Drosophila melanogaster: one gene and its partner. The protein of the gene in region 1 purifies or fractionates together with the protein of each later gene. This does not show direct contact. Each region holds a gene or a part of one and is shown in the gene's direction. Other genes may lie near its edges. The genes, in order: Ge-1 and DCP1.

What was found.
Region 2: the proteins of Ge-1 (region 1) and DCP1 purify together in Drosophila melanogaster (affinity purification with western blotting; 4 studies listed by BioGRID). This does not show direct contact.

The regions. Positions count from the first base shown.
Region 1 is NT_033779.5:11,094,656-11,102,560, reverse strand, and holds Ge-1 (Ge-1), read left to right. Parts: upstream 1-1,672; 5' UTR 1,673-2,001; coding exon 2,002-2,267; intron 2,268-2,335; coding exon 2,336-2,544; intron 2,545-2,806; coding exon 2,807-3,207; intron 3,208-3,265; coding exon 3,266-3,519; intron 3,520-3,576; coding exon 3,577-5,153; intron 5,154-5,261; coding exon 5,262-5,499; intron 5,500-5,555; coding exon 5,556-5,796; intron 5,797-5,859; coding exon 5,860-6,025; intron 6,026-6,085; coding exon 6,086-6,608; intron 6,609-6,683; coding exon 6,684-6,873; 3' UTR 6,874-7,411; downstream 7,412-7,905. Other genes in the region: Wdr59 (WD repeat domain 59), read right to left, coding at 7,724-7,798. UniProt on the Drosophila melanogaster protein: In the process of mRNA degradation, seems to play a role in mRNA decapping. Required for silencing a subset of endogenous miRNA targets.
Region 2 is NT_033778.4:23,888,135-23,892,388, reverse strand, and holds DCP1 (decapping protein 1), read left to right. Parts: upstream 1-2,112; 5' UTR 2,113-2,196; coding exon 2,197-3,315; 3' UTR 3,316-3,625; downstream 3,626-4,254. Other genes in the region: DNAlig1 (DNA ligase 1), read right to left, coding at 1-562, 618-1,250, 1,311-1,601, 1,657-1,719, 1,777-1,793; CG5597 (uncharacterized protein), read right to left, coding at 3,644-3,908, 3,987-4,254.

The DNA.
Region 1 (7,905 bases):
TGCCTGTGTGTGTATTTTTGCGACCATTTTAAGTGTCTCGAACCAAAATTTAACATTCCTTATAATTTGTTATACTTTCTTTAAGCTATTAGTATATTTCCCTCTTTTCTGCACATTAAACTGCATTAGATACATATTGGGCGTAAGATTTCAGAAAAACTACGAATTAGTTTCCCTTAAATTTGAATACTAATTGAAATTACCAAAAACGGAGAAAAAATTGATAACGACCAAGTTTAATATGAAATCCTCGGATTTAAGGCAAATAGCTGAAATGAATTCATGCTATTAGTATTAATTCATTTGTTCATGCACTGAAAGAAATCGATTCACCTTTATGTTAAACACTTATTTTGTTGTTTCTGTATGTTGCAAGCACAATTTACGATTCGAGGTGCTTACACAACGATAAGACTGGGCAAATCTTTGAGTAGGCTCGTAAAATTTCGTTGTGAAAATATTTACACAGTCTGCAGATAAATATTCGCCAGATCTGAAAGTTCCAACAGCTTCTATGTAACTACCATTTGTTTACTCAAGAGCTTGCTCAGTCTTAAGCGGGTAGAAACACCAGCGATGGATCTGATAGCTCGTCCGTTTATGCATTGAAGTTGCTAATTTAATTTGTAGGCTAGTTAAATCTCAAGAACACAAAACAAATCATGCGAGAACAACAACAATAATGCCGCCTCTATAGATATTTATGCAGATCGATTTATATATGTATGTATATGTATATTTAGAGATATATGTATATGCGCTTCTCCTAATTGTTACGAGTAAATGACACACAATTCTTTCGCTTGACAGCCACTCCGCACTCCGTATCTCACCCTCACCCTAGTGATTAATGAAACTGCCACAAAGTGGTCCAATCCCAGGTGTAATATTTCCTGCTGCGAAGACATTTTACTTCTCCATTTGCTATTTATTACTGTTTTGTGTATGCCTCGAAAATGTCCCTTCTATTCATTCCGGCAATGAAAATTAAAAACCACAAAAAAAACATTAACTCAAAAATAAGAACTACAAAAAACGAACCTAAAAAGAAGCCAGGCTTAATGTTTAAGTATTAGAAAAGTGAAAGGTAAAAAATCGATAAAGAAATTCATTTCCTTGAAAGCTTAGCTTAGGTTTTTCAAAAAATATATACATCTTAATATATTTTCTATCTGTATAGTGTACACGATAAAACACAATAACACTTGATATTATCTACAATTACCAAAATTTCTTTCTACCGAAACAGGAGACAAATTTGATTTACTCGGACCACTGATTCTGTACGTATATGCTAACTTTGAATTTATCAGACATACCGGCATATATCACATCTTTTGCATATTTAAACCATTAGATATATGAGTTTTTCTTCAACTTGTTAAACATTTTCAATGACCTACCACCACACACAATCACACAAGAGAAACGAAACAAAATGTAATATGAAAAGAAAAAGTGATATTGAAACACTATGTAAACATATTATTACGTCGCTGCGTAATCAATGTGTATTGTTTTGATGGATATACATCTCTATGAATAAAGATAAATGTATTAAGTTGATGTTAAAATGCAATAAAACGAAAGTGCAACCGAAACGTGTTTTCTTGATTTCGAAAGAACGTTTCGCTGAGCGTCCATCCCTGGCATCCGCGTCGCCGATAACAGACGCTGTCCATCGATTGCCCTAGCACACGCCGCTACACACCTCTATGGTTTTGCGGCAAAAAAAAAAAAGTTTTTTGCGAAAATTTGTGAGTTTACGAGAAGCAGCCAACTAAATGGTTTAGTTTCGCTAAGTAGACGATCAATTGCTGGAGGCCAGTTTTACCAAGTACCGGCTGGGTGCATTTAGCAGGAGTAAAGGAGACCATTCGACTGCTGCGTATTGATAGGGCAGGTTGGTGTGCGAGTCGTTGCTGTTCATCAACTGGCGAAATTAATAATGTGTACCCCCATGCCGTATCATCCTCCCACCTGCAGTCAGCCGATGTGTCAATGTTAATCGCGCTCTTCGCGCTTGCACACTTGCCAATCTTTCGTAAGACGCCTTTGTCAGCCTCCTCCTCCCCGCCGCCGTCTGTCCACCGGTCGCCAAGGTGTGGCAAAGCAAGTACCGCGTACCATCCACCGCCAGCAGACGCCTGCATCAGCATTACTGCTTCAGCCATTGACGCAGCATCCGGGATGAGCAACAGCGCCGAACAGGACAAGCCGATTGCCGCCAACGGCAATGCGGCAGAGCCCCAGGAAATAGAAGTCATGTGCGTATCACCGGTTATCCAATAGACGGCCCTTGCTTAATTAATTCTTTTTTTTTTGTGCCTAACAGCCATTTCCAAGCGCAAGAGAAGCAGTGTTGCCGCGTTATTAGATCCAATAAGACCAAGGTCCTCACATCCGGCGGCGTTCACACACGCGGTTCCTCCAAGGTCAAGCTAAAGAACATCGTCGACTACAAGTGGGAGCGCAAGTACTACTATCCGGGTCACCTGGTCGCTGTCCACCGCGATGGCAAGCACCTGGCGTACGCCATTAATGGTAAGTAATTTATATCCCATTGCAGTTTCTTGACCAATTAGATTTTATTTATGTGTGACAACTTTTTCTCGCAATTCTTGAGTTTTATAAAAAAGGAATGATTCTTGAATTTATCGATGGGAATCATGTCCCAATCAATATTTTACAGAGCTTCCGGGGAATGATGGTTTAATTATTATGTATACTTATGAACCCATTTACCTTGTGTTAATTTTAAAATTAATTTAAAAGCTATTGTATAATAACTTCATTGTGCTCCCAGTCAACAACAAAGCCACCGGAATGGAGGGCATGGTGCGCGTATGCAACATAGCCACCAGTATGCGAGCCTTGATCAAGGGAATGAGCGGCGAGGTCTTAGATCTGCAGTTTGCCCATACGGATTGTGAGCGTATATTAGCTGTGATCGATGTCAGTTCGCTGTTTGTCTACAAAGTCGATCAAATCGAAGGGAACCTGCTGTGCAATCTAGTGCTAAAGGTGGAGGACCCCATCGCCAACTATGTGCCGGAGTACGATATGGTCTCCTGGTGTCCCTATGTCTGCAGCAGCAGCGCCACCGTTCCAATCAACGACGATGACGATGAGAATCAGCTGCTCATTTGGTCGCGAAGCTCTCAATTTCAATGCTTTCAAGTGAAGATGATTGTCTCTGAACATGGGGTTCGTTTGTGCTAATGTTCAGCGCCAAACATATCATTAATGGCATTTACCTTAACAGCGCGGCAAGATCCAACCAGCAGCCCTAGAATCTGGATATCTGAAGATTGAGGAGGACTCGTTGATCACGTGCGCCGCTTTGTCCCCGGATGGCACCACTGTGGCTGCTGCTTGCGCCGATGGCTTGGTTCGTTTCTACCAAATTTATTTGTTCGATGTGCGCAACCATCGCTGCCTGCACGAGTGGAAGCCACATGATGGCAAAAAAGTCTGCTCTCTCTTTTTTCTCGACAATATCAACAAGCCTGTGGAAGAGTAAGTAGTTATTATATAATAATTAAATATAATTATTATATTAAACTTTCCCATTAGATCCTACTGGCAGCACGTGATCACTACGAGCGATGCCAATACCGAAATCAAGCTCTGGAACTGCTCGCTATGGAAATGCCTCCAAACTATCAATGTGGTGGCCAGTCCGTCATCTTTGCAGCCCAGAAACTTTATCGCGGGCATAGATCGCAGTGCGAACTACTTGGTGTTGTCTTGCCTGGACTCTCTGGCCGTGTATGTAATGCAGATTGGCAGTACTGGCGGCGCAGACTCCGAGAATAGGAGTAGCGATAGCGAAGGAGAAGGCTGCGACACTTCCAAACGCATTCAGAATGTTGCCGAATTCAAGCTGAGTTCGGGGATTCTCTCTTTTTCTATTGTAAACGCTAGTATGCGTCGCGTTAAGAACTCCATCGAGAGCTACTATCCTATTGAGGAGCCCGATGACTTCGATGACGATTCCAATTCCACCAGTGCCCTTGTGCTGCACATGTTTGTGGTGCAGGCAAAGAGCCTGCAGGAATGTCAAATAATCTACCAGCCATGTGTGGCTGAAAAGACGGAGCGGAGCAGCCTAAACAGCAAGCGATCACAGACGCCAGAAGACAATCTGCTAATCAAAGAGGAGCCGGAATCCCCCAACAGTGGAACTGTGGGTGCTGTTCAGCTGGATGCATTATTCGCAAAATCCGCAAAGAGAGCTTCAACGGGCAGTTCATCTGCCATGGTGGCCGTGGCGGCAGCCGCGGCTGCGGCACCTTCGGCCATCCTGCAGGACGCCACTAAGGAGGCGGCCAAGTCAGAGTCCCCGCAACTAAGCAGCGCGTATACGCAGCAGGTTAATCTCATGACTCCAGATGCCTTCAGTGCAAGCGGAACCGCAGCGGCAGCAGCTGTATTTGTGTCTACCAGCACCACAACTTCAATAGGAACTGATAGCTCTACCACCACCAGCGGTCAGGATAGATCCATTGATTCAGCGGTTCTGCAAACTATACGAATGCTGGCCACGGTAACGTCCAAGACTTCCGAAAACCCCAATGCCGAGGTACTCCTCAACCTAATGAACAACACCCTAATCGAAGATCGCGAGCAACAAAAGCTGAAGGAAAAGCTTGACGCTCGCAAGAAGTTCATTGCAATTGATCGCAATCCAGAGCGGAATGTGGCTGAGAACTTGGCCAGCGGCAGTTCGAGTCCGAGTCGAGAGGTGCAGGAGATAATGGCCACACAGGACGATGCCGATGCCTACGAAGCAGAGCTAGAGAATCTGGACGACGATGATGACGATGAGGAAGAAGAGCTGGCAAATTCATCACCGCTCCCGGAAGCTGTTGACGGAACATGGCCCATTGTCAAGCTGTCATCCCACTCAGCTGAGCTCCAGAATGCTGCCCAGATCATGTCCCAGGCGGTGCAGAACACCAACAATGGCAATGTGCCGCCTACGCTAGGTGGAGGGCACAATAATAACACAAGTGTAGGCAGCAATAGCAACAACAACACGGCTACAACTCTTAGCACCAGCAACACCAGCAGCAGCAACAACGCGGGCGGAACATGCGTTGATTCAAGTGGAACTGGAGAGCTAAATGCCAAAATGGAACTACTCATAGGTAAGTGGTTGTGATCTTCAATCAGAAATTTTAAATATTTTATATTAAAAGAGGCATGATGGCGTAACGTACTTCAAATACTAACAATTTCACATAAATTATTTGCAGATCTAGTAAAAGCCCAGTCCAAACAAATAAACAAATTGGAGAACGAAGTCAACAAGCTACAAAAGCAGCAAGAAGCGGCGGCGGCCCTGCATAGCAAACAAGACACTTCATTGGAGCCTAAAAATCTTAGTCAGCTAGCATATAAAATTGAGATGCAACTGTCCAAGCTAATGGAGCAGTATCTCAAGCGATATGAAAACGAGCATAAGAAGAAACTGACGGAATTCTTGGCGGCGCGGTAAGATACATATAACAAATTTTCCGGGGCACAATCCAAGTGAATACTTTTTGCAGTGAGAGCCAAAACCGAGAGCTACGTGACTCCGTGCTGCAGGTACTAAATCAGTATGTCATGAACCACTTTACGGACATTATTGGCAACGTTCTCAACATGGAACTGCAGCGCCAACTGCTTCCTCGCGTGAATGCCAACATGGATCAGCTCCAAGCCCAAATGCAAGTGGAGATTGTGCAGAAGCTGAGTGTGTTTGACAAAACGGTGAAGGAGAATATTGCCCAGGTGTGCAAGAGCAAGGTACGTAATCTGCAAGTCCATCTATAAATGCTTATAATTAAGCGTTTTTTTTTCATTACTTAGCAATTTCTGGATACTTTTGGCAAGTCCGTGTTGATTGGTGTTCAAACCAGCCTACAAACCGCCTTCATTGAATCTATGAGCAGCACCTTGATTCCAGCTTATGAGAAGTCCTCGCAGAACATGTTTAAACAACTGCATGACGCTTTCAGCGTGGGCATAAAAGACTGTTAGTATATAATCATTACAATCATAATGGATACATAAAGCTCCTTCTTTTGAATTCCAGTTATGGTCCAGTTTAACACCTACCTGCAGCACATGCCACAGCCCCAAGCCGGGAGTGGCAATACGGAGGAGATAAACAACAAGTTGTCCATGCTTAAGCAATTGGTAGAGAGCAGCTTGCACAAGCACCGCACTGAACTCACGGACGCCATGCTCGAGACACAAAGAGAAGTGAAGAGCTTAGAGATTTTGCTGGCGCGTCAGGTACAGGAAACGATCAGAGCAGAGCTACGCAAGCACATGGAAGCCCAGAACGTGGCAATGCGTTCGCAGGCAGCTACGCCTGCACCACCTTACGACCTCAGGGACAGCATTAAGCAGCTTTTGATGGCTGGACAAATCAACAAGGCCTTCCATCAGGCTCTATTGGCCAACGACTTGGGCCTAGTGGAGTTCACTCTCCGACACACGGACAGCAACCAGGCATTCGCACCAGAGGGATGCAGACTGGAGCAAAAGGTTCTACTGTCGCTCATTCAGCAAATATCCGCTGACATGACCAATCACAATGAGCTTAAGCAGAGGTGAGCTAGGAGAACTAAACAAGTAACAAAACATTACAAAGAATTACATTGATGATGTACCTTTTTCATTTGTAGATATCTCAACGAGGCACTGTTGGCCATCAATATGGCAGATCCCATTACCCGCGAGCACGCTCCTAAAGTGCTCACCGAGCTGTATCGCAATTGTCAGCAGTTCATTAAGAACAGCCCCAAGAATTCGCAGTTCAGCAACGTCCGTCTGCTGATGAAGGCAATCATAACGTACCGCGATCAGCTAAAATGATATCAAGAGAACTATAACCTGGCCAGTGGCTGGTTTTGATAGATTACCCATCCGATCCCCATCCAAGATAGTTAATCTATGACCACAAACACATTTATAAATACACGCTTGTAGTTAAGTCCAAAAAGAAGTTAGTATGCTAAAAAGCTCTCAGCTAAGTTCATCCCTTAAAAAGTTGAAATTGAATCTATGCCTTTCATTTTATTGTTTATTTGTTTTGTGCGTGATTTGTTTATAGTAAGGCCGTATATCTAATGTTTATGTCGCTATATCAAAATTGTATTATCTTTATAATGATTCGCCTACTAAATTGCAATATATTTTTTTATTATTTTATTTTTGCGTTCCTTTTATTTTCCTTTTTATCTTTATGACGCTTAATGAACAAAAGAAAACACACAAAAACAAGAATAGGAGCTGTAGAAACTTATTTAAAAATTATTTTCAAAACTAAAGCAAACTTTATTATGACGGACAAAACAAAAAAATTATTAGATTGCAAATGCAAAAACTACAAGTAAATCGTAGAATTTAAGCTAAAAAAAAAAAAAAAAAACAGAAAGCAAAAGTCGATAATAAAAAAGAATAAATGTATGTACTTGAAAAAATCTAGAAACAGTTCTTTTTGAATTATCGTAACCATATGATTTTGGTTAAGTGTATAGTTGCATAAAGCTTTTACCCTTAGCTTGGCTAGTAAGTGGTCATATATTTCTCAATGGTATGCAAATCGTACAAAAATTGTTGGCCTAATGACTAAAAAACACCTAACTATTTTGATATCCACACAGACGAAAGAAAGTTAAGTAAGATTATTTTTGAAAGGAATGCACATCACTCAAGGTCTGAATCAGCTGAGTAGGGCTAGCAGCTCTGAGGTGCGCTCCAAGCACTTGCAGCCACACGTAGCACAGACATTGTGTTTCTGAAAGTTAAACAAGAAAATAGCAAACATGAATATATTTATATCCATAAATCCATAAATCCAAATCCATACATCGTTTGGTTCGTGAAAAAGAAACCAGTCGAATC
Region 2 (4,254 bases), on another chromosome or scaffold:
GAACTTCCACTCGCCCTCGACCTCTTGAAAGTGCTCCAACAGGAGCTTGCGACGCTCCGACAGGTTTTTGGTCACCAGAGCAGTGCCATTGATGTACAGCAGATCGAAGATGTAGACACAGACTTGGACCTTGATTTCCTCGATATCAACGTTCTTCCGTTTGCGCGTGCTGAGCACCTGAAACGGCAGAATCTGCTTGCGCTCCACATCCCAGGCCACAATTTCGCTGTCTATGATGTAGGACTTTACGTCGCCCTTGAGCAAGGCAGTGCTCCTGGCAATCAAATCCGGATATTTTGCCGTGTTGTTCTCGGAGTTGCGCGAGAATATGCTGATCTCCCCCTTCTCGTTGCGGTGGATTTGGGCCCGCTCTCCATCGTATTTCCACTCGCAGGTGATTTGCATGCCGCCGAATCTCTCAAATACCTCATGGACCCCCTTGGTGGGCTGGGCGAGCATGGGCCTCAGCGGCATGCCGGGATGCATGGGGCAGCGTTCCTGCAGCTCCTTAATATCGTACTTTAGAATGGCCGGTATAATGATATCGTAGTTGGGACACTGACTGCAAAAGTTCGTTAGCATCTGAATTATTAGCTGGTTCTTAAGTTAGTTCTTACCAGTATGCAGTTTTCAACAGCAAAGTGGTGTCGACTATTTCATCCTTATACACATCCGGCACCTTGCTAGCCTTGCAATCATCGATGTGGTTCTTTTTCACCAAACCAATGGCCAGCGCTGTGAGCAAACTCTGCTCTGCAATGCCAATTCTTAGCTTGCCAATCAATGAACGGATAAAGAAGCGAGCCTCCGACGATCGACAGGCCACAAACATATTGTACACCAGGTCCATTTTCGACTGACCGGATAGCTTGGCTATTTCGCGTAGCTTCCGGAACACATCCCTCACATTCAGAGGCGCTGGCTGGAACATCATGCGCTGTGAAACGCGCGACTGCTCGGCCACGATGCCCAGATCCCCGGTTAGCTGCGTCTGCGATTTAATGTGAGCCAAATTACGCCCCGTTGCCTTGCAAATGGCCTTCATCAAGGTGGTCTCGGCAACGCCCAGCTCCAGTCCCTCGTAGGCGGGCGCCAGTTGGTTGATGCTGAGGTAGACGCTGGGCACAAGATCCTCCGGACTGACCAGCATCACAGAGCAGAAGAAGTTGCTCAGCGTGTCGATCATCTTGAGCCGGCCTTTGGTCTCCTCGATTACTTGAAATGTGCGGGCCAGTGCCAAGTAGGGAGTGCTGGAAAGTGTTTCCTTTGATATAATTCGCCTTGGAGGCTCAAAATCCTGCACTACTTACACCTTTTTGTCCTTCCAGTAGGCATTCTTGAGCGGATGATAGGAGTCGGCGGATGGATCGTAGTTTTCCACATCCTCCTTAGTAGCGGCAGTGGAGTTGAGACCTATGGTTGTGACCTTCTTGTCAGTGGTCTTGTCATCGACTTCCTTTGGTTCCTTCTTAACATTTTTCACCGGACTTGTCTTCTCCTCGGAATCCACAGACATAGGTTCTACCTTGGGCTTAGTTTCCGGGGAGGCACTTTCGCTCTTGATGTGGGGTTCATCTGGGAGTTCGGTCTTCGCATCAATCCTATGATTTGTCGAGGAATTTAGTAATGAAACAAGAAAACAGCGGCACCATTTACTTAGGAACTTTCTTGGGCGGCGAGGGGCTGTCGGTGGCATCGGATTTCTTCTTGAAGAAGGAGCTGAAACGGGGGATTGTTAGATTGGCAATACTTAGCATTTGTTAAATCGTAAATTACGTTATAGACTTTTGCATTTTGTGGCAATTCTGTGTTCAAATAAATACAAATTGCAATGCAATTAGTTCCCGCCAGTTTCTAGAGCTGGTCTTCAGTATCGATATATTGAAATGGAAATGCTATCGAAGTTGAAAATTTTATTAGTAAACATAAATTAAATGTTTATGCTACATAATTGAGAAATATTATTACGTACAATTGTGGCCATTTTTATATGCAAGTCAATCGACTTAATATTTCTCAAACAAATCATTAATAGACAAAAGGAAGAGTTTATTGTCATTCGGTGTGACCGCAGCACAGTCGTTGATAAACACGGGAAAACATCCACGGGGCAGTGTGACCAGAGCGCCGTTAAATTCACAAATAATTGCAATTCGCAATAGCACAGCCAAAACTGAAGATTACATACAATTTACAATGGCCGACGAGAGCATCACGCGAATGAACCTGGCGGCCATCAAGAAGATCGACCCGTACGCCAAGGAGATCGTGGATTCGTCCTCGCACGTCGCCTTCTACACGTTCAACTCGTCGCAGAACGAGTGGGAAAAGACCGATGTGGAGGGAGCCTTCTTCATATACCACCGCAACGCGGAGCCCTTTCACAGCATCTTCATCAACAACCGACTGAACACCACGTCCTTCGTGGAGCCCATCACCGGCAGCCTGGAGCTGCAGTCGCAGCCGCCGTTCCTGCTCTACCGCAACGAGCGCTCGCGCATCCGCGGCTTCTGGTTCTACAACAGCGAGGAGTGCGACCGCATCAGCGGCTTGGTGAACGGGCTGCTCAAGTCCAAGGATCAGGGAACGAATGGCCAGGCCCAGCGTCACGTCTCCGCGCCCCAGCAGCCAAAGCAGGACAGCAGCCAGCCGGCCAGCATATTCAACATGCTGACCAAGGCCCAGAAGGACTACAATGCCCAGGTGAGCGGCGGGCAGCCGAAGACGCCTTCGGCGGAGAACGTAACGGCCGGCAATGTGTTGAAGTTCTTCGAATCGGCCAAGCAGGCCACGGCAGAGTCACTGTTCCACCGCGTCCAGCCGCTCTCCGTGGACCAGCTGGAGAAACAGCAGCGGGCAGCCACGCCTGGCGAGGATCTGTTGCCCCCGGCAGGCAGGGACAATCACGAGAGCCGGCTGTCGCCCTTCCAGAAGATGCAGCAGCTTAACATTCAGCTCCTGAGCGACCTGAAGATCGGTAAAAGCTACGCTACGGCTCAATCTCCGACAGTCGCCCCGTCCTCGTCGGCGCTGATGGCCAACGACGATGCCGGCAAGTGCTTGCGGAGACTGCTGGCTGGCGACAAGCCCGGGCCGGCCCTCATGCCGCCCACCATGTTCGACGCGCCCAACAACGGCAATCCGGAGCCACAGCAGCCACAGCAGCCACAGCAGCCACTGCTGAACTCGACGCAGTTCGTCCAGGCCTTCACGTACCTTATCCAGAACGATAAGGAGTTTGCCAACAAGCTGCACAAGGCCTACCTGAACGGCTGTTCCAATCTACTGCTGGACTCCAGCTCCACATATCAATAAACAGAAATATTCAACATTTCCGAATTGCAGCCCATATTTTCATTTGTTCGCATGGAGTTCGAGTTCAAGCCGAGTTAATTTACAAAATGTAATAGCTGTAAGCCGACAAGGGCAGTCGTAGATTTAAAATCTAGAAGCCCCGCCGGAGAAGGACGGCATCCATTTCCAGAGCAACCTTAAGAGTTAACTAACGTAGTTGGTTTTGTGAAGTATTCGTATTTATTTACAAAATGGTTAACTAGGCCGAAGGGGCGTAGAAAAGGTAGTTGAATGGCAAACAGAATTCAATAAACATTAATTTAGTAACAATAAATAACAACGCTTTTATTTAGGCCAATACCTTCAGCTTGCAGAGCAGGTAGTACAGAAAACAAAACAGCCACAGGCTGAAGTCGACGTGGCTCCTGCCCGCCGCCGCGGACGTGGCCACCGTGGTCAGGTTCTTGCCGTATCCCTCGAAGGACACCACGCACTGGTAGGCATCGGGATCGTCGTCGGTGTCGTAGGCCGCCACCACGGCGCTGCCATCGAAGTATCCCTCCTCGTTCTCGTACACCATGGGCTCCCGCTTCACCACGTCCATGTCGTTGGATCTGTAATAGGAGCGGAGTTGAGTTGGGACGTTGTTTACTACAAGGCTGTCTTACGACAAGGCAGGCGCTCGTCCTTACATTATCGTGATGGTGGGCCTGGGATACACGTTCGTCACGGTGCAGTTCAGCTGCGTCTCATTGTGGATCGTCTTGTGGGACAGCTCCAGGGTGTAGTTCCTCAGGTCTATGACCTGAACCCTCTGGTGGCTGGAGAAGGTGTTCAGCGAGGTCTGCACCACGCACTTGTAGTCGCCGGTGGTGGCGATCGTGGGGTTGATCAAAGCCAGCGAGCTGTACTGCTTGCTCGGCTCCGTGGAGCTCTCATAGGTGCTGTCAATCTCGTTCC